2 linked regions of the Notamacropus eugenii genome follow. The protein of the gene in region 1 purifies or fractionates together with the protein of each later gene. This does not show direct contact. Links are inferred from orthologs where the notes say so. Each region holds a gene or a part of one and is shown on either strand. Other genes may lie near its edges.

Region 1 (3,749 bases):
TGCAGTGCAGTGTCTCATTACCTCACACCTGGACTATTCATTACAATAGCTTTCTGACTGGTCTTCCTGCCTGCCTTCCCCCCTTTATTTCAGTTCAGCCTCCAAAATGATCTTCCTAAAGTGCACTTATGACTGTATCACACTCTCTTCACATTCAATAAATTCTAGTGGTTCCTTATCACCTAGAAGAACAAATTTAAAACCCAGTGTTTGGTTTTTAAAGCCTCTTACAACCTGACCCTTTCTTGTCTATGTAGTCTTATACTTTATTCTCATCTATGTATCCTCTGAACCAGTCACTTTGGACACCTTGCTTTTTTTTTTTTTTTTTTTTTTTGCAGGACACTACATTTTCTTGCTTTGTAGCTATCCACCATGCCTGCAATGCTCTCCCTCCTCACCTTTGCCTCCTGGTTCAAGACTGAGCTTAAATCTTTGGCCAGAATCCTTTATCAATCTCCCTTACTACTACTATTGCCACCCTTCTATGATTGCCTTCTATTTACACTGTATCTATACATCTTGCAGGCACAAGTGGTTGCATGTTGTCTCCCTCATTAGAACATGATGAGCTCCTTTGAGGGGAGAGGCTATGTTTTTGCCTTTCTTTGTGTCCCCATTGCTTATCAAAGTCCCTGGCACATAATAAGGACTTAATAAATGCTTGATGACTAACTTTTGAGACTGTCCAAAGTCACATCCCAGCAAGTCCAAGACTATCTACTATTCTGCCTGTCTTATTTATCCACACTGTATGTGAACAGAAATTTGATACAACAGATTTTATTATTACTAAGCTTCAATAATTAATACCAACTGTGGACTAATATTTGTAGAGCATTTTCACAAATTTTTTTTTTTAATCTTGACCAGCTGCATGCAAATATTCAGAACATGAGTTCAGTAAGCTGGAAAGGTCTCATTTCTGAAAGGCCAGAATTCAGTTCTATTTGATTAGAAACCTTAGTCTTTCAGCAAGTCACTACTATGCAAATTTGTATGGCCCTCCCCAAAGTTTGAACCAGAAGTCCAATCTCAATCATTCATACTGTTTTAAATGTGTCTCTGCTTTTTAACCTTTGTATCCTCAGCACCTAGGACAGTACCTTGACCACCATAAACAGTTTAAAAATGTTTATTTTATTGAATCTGCATTATCACAAGAGAATGCTTGGCTTCTTTGTTTTTTTTTCTTAAGACAGCATGAATAAGAACATGCTCAAATTTTCTTTAAATGGAAATAATTAAATTTGACCATCCTACATTCAGAGTGGCTCTTTTAAAAGAAAGGGCTGAAAAGTGATAGATTTTTTTTTTTAAATGAAAGGTATTGGGTCTCAACAACTAGAGAAGGGCCAGTCCATTATGGTAACAATGTAATGCGGTATTATGTGTATAACACAAGGAAAGACAAATAGAAGAATTCAGAGGAACCCAGGAAGATCTGCATAAAAAGTGATGTAGAGTGAAAAAAGTAGAGCCCCAAAACCCATACACAACAACTACAATATAAATGTCAGTAGAGAAACAGCAAAACTCTGGTCAACTGTACTGTTCTTTTGGTATTATTCTGTTGAAGCTAAAAGACTAACTTTTTTTCAGGAAGTATATTTTCATAGAAGGGTTAGTACAGGTGTTTTGTTGGGAAAGTGCAAAAGATAAATTGATGTGTCTTTAAAAAGATGTCAAGGGGATCTTTGTGTCCCATTACTATTTCTTAACCTTAAACATGAGAAATAAGTGAAGCAGCAATGCTAAAACACAGCGCTTACAATCAAAGGATCACAATTCAACTTAGAGGAAAATCATCTGTATTTTCCTAAGGACCCAAGATATGGAACCAACCATGGTCATAATATCACAGACTTAGAGCTGGAAAGTACCTTATAGATCCATTGATCCAAAACCCCTCATTTTACAGATGAGGAAAACAGGTCCAGAGAGTTTAAGTGATTTGGCCAAGATCACACAGATCATAAATGGCAAAGCTGGAATCTAGACAAATATCCTCACACTCTTAATCTATCATTTCTTATGTGACATGCTAGCTCTCATATAAAAATATGAATCACCATGCACTACTGAAATCCACATTATCCAAAACCTTCATTTTAGCCATTGGTTTCAAGGTTTTACTTATTCACCAAACCATTCCCATAACTGTTGACAATGTACAAAAATAAATGGGATCGCAAAGATGATGGAGGGAAAGCAGAGACCTGCTTGAGCTCTTCCCTCAAATGCCTGCACATATCTGTAAAAAATGACTCTACCCAAATTCTAGAGCTGCAGGACACACAAAGTGACAGAGTGAGGGAAATCTCTAGCCCAGGACAGCCTGGAAGATCAAGAGGAAGCGTCTGTTCCACCAAGCTGGGAGCTGGGTAAAGCACAGTCTGGGGTGGACTGTGCCAGGACAGACAAGGTAGGAGCAGGCCTCAGGGGACTAAACTGCTGGCAGCTGTGGCAGTTTCCAGACTTCTCAACCCACAAATGCCAAAGACAGCATAGAAAGTCAGTAGGAAAACTCTGTCAGACCTGATTGGTGGAGGGGTGTGGTCTGGTTCGGATTTGGTCCCAGCCCTTGGGCAGAGGAGGAGGCTGTGCAGGCAGGAGCAGCTTCTGGAAGCTCTGGACCCACAGACAATGGAGGATGGAGCAGCTGATACAAAATTCCTGAAGCCTGTGACAGTACACCCACCCCCACCCCTAACAGAAACAGAGTCCTACCTTAACAAAGAGTTAGCAAGTCAAGTATTTGACTGGGAAGATGAACAAACAGAGGAAAAAAGTCAGACTATAGAATCTTATTTTGGTGACAATGAAGAACAAAACATACAACCAGAGGATAACAAAGTCAAAGCTTCTACATCAAAAGCCTCCAAGAAAAATATGAATTAGGCCATGGAAAAGTCCAAAAAGGATTTTGAAAATCAAGTAAGAGAAGTAGAGGAAAAATTAGGAAGAGAAATGAGAGTAATGCAAGAAAATCATGAAAAACAAGTTAACGGCTTGCTAAAGGAGACCCTCCCCCCAAATACTGAAAAAAATAACACTTTAAAAACAGACTAATCCAAATGGAAAAAGAGGTCCAAAAAGTCAATGAGGAGAAGAATGCTTTAAAAAGCAGGACTGGCCAAATGGAAAAGGAGGTCCAAAAGCTCACTGAAGAAAATAATTCCTTCAAAATTAGAATGGAGCAGATGGAAGCCAAAGACTTTATGAGAAATCAAAAAATTATAAAACAGAACCAAAATAATGAAAAAATAGAAGACAATGTGAAATATCTCACTGAAAAAACAACTGACCTGGAAAATAGATCCAGAAGAGATCAAAAAAATTATTGGACTACCTGAAATCCATGATAAAAAAAGAGCCTAGACATCATCTTTCACGAAATTATCAAGGAAAACTGCTCTGATATTCTAGAACCATAGAAATTGAAAGAATCCACTGATCACCTCCAGAAAGAGATCCTAAAAGGAAAACTCCAAGGAACAGTAGCCAAATTCCAGACTTCCCAGGACAAGGAGAAAATATTACAAGCAGCCAGAAAGAAACAATTTAAATATTGTGGAAATACAATCAGAATAACACAAGATCTAGCAGCTCCTACGTTAAGGGACTGAAGGGCTTGGAATATGATATTCCAAAGGGCAGAGGAGCAAGGATTAAAACCAAGAATCACCTACCTAGCAATACTGAGTATCATACCCCAGGGGAAAAAAATGGATCAATGAAATAGAGCA
Region 2 (3,749 bases), on another chromosome or scaffold:
TAATTGTTAGGAAGTTTTTTCCTGATACTATGAACCTCTCTGCACCTGCTGCTCCTTCCTCTGAATCTTGGGACCAAGGAATACAGGTCTACCTCTTTCATGTGCCAGCTTTTCAAATACCTGAAAACAGCTATCATAACCTCCCCATTCCTTCTCTTCTAGAGGCTCTTCACCCTAAGTTGACCTCTCTTTGGGACACTTTCCCAAAGTTATCAATGTCCCTCCTAAAATGTGAAACCCTTAACTGAACACAATACTCCAGATGTGGTCTAACCACAATTTCTTCCTGTGTACTATACATTCTGAAACATAAGATCCTGTTAGCTCTCTTGGTTGCCATACCACCATACTCATGGAGAGCCTAATGTTTCAGAGTGGCAGCCAAGACAGCACTCTTGCCTTGAGAGTATCATGTTCACTTCTGGACACCACACTTTGGGAGGGACAAGGACAACCTAGAGAAACTCTGGAGACAAGTAGTCAAGATGTTGAGAAATGCTGAAACTATGTCCTGTGTGGGGCAGATGAGTGAGCTGTGCACACTTCACCTTCTGAAGAAAAGAAGCAAGTCAACAAGCTTTTATTAAGTATGAAACCCAAGTATCTATTAAAGGCTGTGCTAAGTGCTGAGGGATACAAACAAAGGCAAGGAGCTCACAAGGGGCAACATGAGAGTTATGTTCAATTATATGAAAGTGTCATATGAATGTGATTAGGTTTGTTTGTGTTGCTCAAGAGGGCAGGATTAGGGCCAATTGGATGTTACAAGAAAACATTTTGACTCAACAGAAGAAAGAATTTTCTAAAGCTATTCAATGAGGGGTACATTGTATCACATTACAGGAAATTTGCGGTCACTAAAGCATTCAAGCACAGACTGGACGACCGTCTCAGGAACACTGAAGAAACAGTATCTATATTTGAAGGTAATACGGAATACATAATTAACCTCTACGAATTTTTCACTTTCAAAATTCCAAGGCCCAAATCACTGAGCAATGTTTAAACCATTCTCACTAACTACATCTAAATCTACAAATAATTATAACCAGTATCTATCAACCAAAATTATTCTTGCCCTATTCTAACCTACCCACAAAACTCAGCACCTAGTCTCACCTCATTCTACCACAAATCTACTTCTTTTTCTAAAGAGATGCACGTTAATCTTTGATGATACTAAGAGTCCTGCTTTGCCATCCCCACCATCTGGTACTGATTTATCATACCTCTATACGTACCACAGATTCACATCCATTTTGTATCTTGGGTAACTACCTATTTTTCAAAGATTTTTTTGTGGACTATCGATTAACCATTTATTCTACTTATGAAACACACATTTGGCAAACCTTTCTTGATAGCGAACTACAGACAAGACGCTGTATGATAGGATTTTAGGGTGTAGCCTGCAAAAAAAAGCTACACAATTGATCTTGTGTTTATCCGGTGCAGTGGATGTCATCGATCTTCACTCTTTACCGGATACTAAATATCCTAACATAAATAGATACTCTGTAGCTAGACAATGGAAAGCGAAGAGAAGATAATGCACGCGCCGGGCTTTCAGAGGCTCTTCTCCACTCGCATGGGGCTTTTAATCCAATCTGGTGCCATCCTGCACTCGCCCCCCGGGGCTACCTCTTTCTAGAGTGGCAAGGAAAAACTACTGGGTTTTTGGTTTGGTTCTTCGTTTTCCAAACTGCAATGTGATTTAGGCAGAGAAATGCCCCGGAACCACGGGAGAGCAGGTGGCGAAGCACGTCGGAATCTCACTCCTCTAACTACTACAGCCCCCCTCCAGGAACAGAGGCTTTTTTAGGGTTACTCCCGGGCGGGGCAGCTGGCACGCTGGTGCACGCGAGGCCCGACGCCTGCCCCTGCAGCCCTTCCCGGTTCCTACGAGGAAAAGACCGAGGATTCTGTCCCTAAATCAGACTGGAGGCTGGCACGTCGCCATCCCATGAAAGGCGAGCACAGGAACAAAACACGAAAGGGCTGGAGGGCGGACTGCCCCCTCCCCCATCCGCCCAGATACACACGCGCACACGCACACACACACCGCAGCCCCTCCCCCTCCCCCGTTAAGCCAGCTCCGCGCGCGCCTTCCTACCGTGCAGGGCGAGGGGGAGGGGGCAGCTGCGGACACGTGGTGTGAGGGGGCGAGCCGGGCCAGGGGGGTGGGACCGGGACAGTCCGTTCCTAGCGGAACGGAGGCCACGCGGCGGCGGCCTCCTCGACGGGGTCCGCGGGCCCCTGCTGCGCGCGCGCGGCTCCGTTCCCGAATGGCGGCGCGAAGACGCAGCGACTGAGGCTGCTGCTCCGGGTGCGCGAGCGTGCGCGTGGTCGCGTGCGGGGAGGGGGGGGGGGGGAGGGCGGGGATGCCGAGAAAGGTTGGCGCCTCCACTTTCCTCCGAGGCGCGGTTTCCTCGCGTCGCCCAATCAGCGCCAGGATCCCCAGAAGCCTCCGAGGAGGGGGGAGTGGGCGGTCCTTTGAACCGGAAATGCCGTGGCGTCTCTTAGCCTCCTGCCCTCTCCCTCCCCCACCCCGCCCCCGCCGTGGCGCGCGCCCTCCTCGGACTCGGGGCTGCGGCGCGCGCTGGAAGGAGGCCCCCTAGAGGAGCCCACGACGTAGTCCGCGCTGTCCGGGGGGAGGGGCGAGGCGAGGCTCCAGGCCCCTTCTGCCAGCCTGGCCGCACCCGGGATAGGCTCGTTACTCCGCGTTATTGTTCCACCCGGGCCACTCGGCCGCGGGACGGGCACCCGGAGGCCCCCTCCCCACCCCCACCCCAGGCCCCCAGCGGTCCCCTCCCCCTCTAAGCCTTGCCCCCACCTCGGTCCGCTTCGTCCTTGGCCTCGCGCAGCGGCATTCCGATGGGGAAAACGATCTGCCAATCGCTGGGTCTACCCGAGAATTATGCAGAGTAGATGGAAGGGTACCCCAGAGGAAGCGGGGGCAGGGCGGGGGGAGAGGGGGGTGTAGGAACCCGAGAAGGCCTCCTGGGAAAGGTGGGATTTGTGCTGAGTCTTCAGAGCCACCGAAAATAATAGGCATGAGGTTCGGCCAGTGCAAAGGTCCGGAGTCGGTACATGGCTCGTTGGTGTGCGAGCAACTGCCCGTAGACCAGCGAAGCAGAATTGTAAAGTTAGTGGAGGGGAGGAAAGACGTCGACCTCTTTGTCCCGGGACAAATTCTCCGAGACTGACGAGCTGCAGATCTTAAAGGGAGGTTCGGTTTCCTTCTTTGTCTGGTCCTGTTGTTGATTGAATTCTTCCCCAAAAGCTCCCCGGTGTGTGGGTGTAAATTTTAGGGTTCACACCTGACCTGACGAAGTCATCCAGCCTCGCTCGCAGAATTTCACACATGAATAATCCAAGGTCCAGAGAGGTAGCGTGGTGGCAGAGCCAGCATTCATGTGCGTGTCTCCTAATTCCAAACATCGAAGGGTCATTAACCGTAACTCTTTGTGGGCAAGGACTGTGCCTTATATAAACTTTGTCAAACTCTTAGCCCATCTCTTTTCCTCTCCTCTCCCCACCTCCTTTTATAAGCACAGATGCCAGTGTCCTTGCAATTTGTGTGTTCATCCTTCGTTGCTGAAGAAGACCACGCCATCAAAGAAAGAATGACATGACTTTCACTGGACTTTGTTTTGAGTGAGGGAGGGCTGTGCAGGTCACCAGCCTCACTTCTCCTCCAGAGCCATCTGGGTCCAGTGACCAGATAATCCTCAGGATGACTGGAGATG

Evidence for each region.
Region 2: the proteins of POGZ (region 1) and CHAMP1 purify together in Homo sapiens (affinity purification with mass spectrometry; 4 studies listed by BioGRID and IntAct, with this or other methods). This does not show direct contact. The link is inferred for Notamacropus eugenii from reciprocal best matches to the Homo sapiens genes POGZ and CHAMP1.

What each region holds. Positions count from the first base shown.
Region 1 is NC_092873.1:305,320,719-305,324,467, forward strand, and holds the start of POGZ (pogo transposable element with ZNF domain), read right to left. Parts: upstream 2,165-3,749; 5' UTR 1-2,164. UniProt on the Homo sapiens protein: Plays a role in mitotic cell cycle progression and is involved in kinetochore assembly and mitotic sister chromatid cohesion.
Region 2 is NC_092877.1:206,038,365-206,042,113, forward strand, and holds the start of CHAMP1 (chromosome alignment-maintaining phosphoprotein 1), read right to left. Parts: upstream 2,857-3,749; 5' UTR 2,834-2,856; intron 2,399-2,833; exon of another isoform or gene 2,114-2,398; intron 1-2,113. UniProt on the Homo sapiens protein: Required for proper alignment of chromosomes at metaphase and their accurate segregation during mitosis. Involved in the maintenance of spindle microtubules attachment to the kinetochore during sister chromatid biorientation.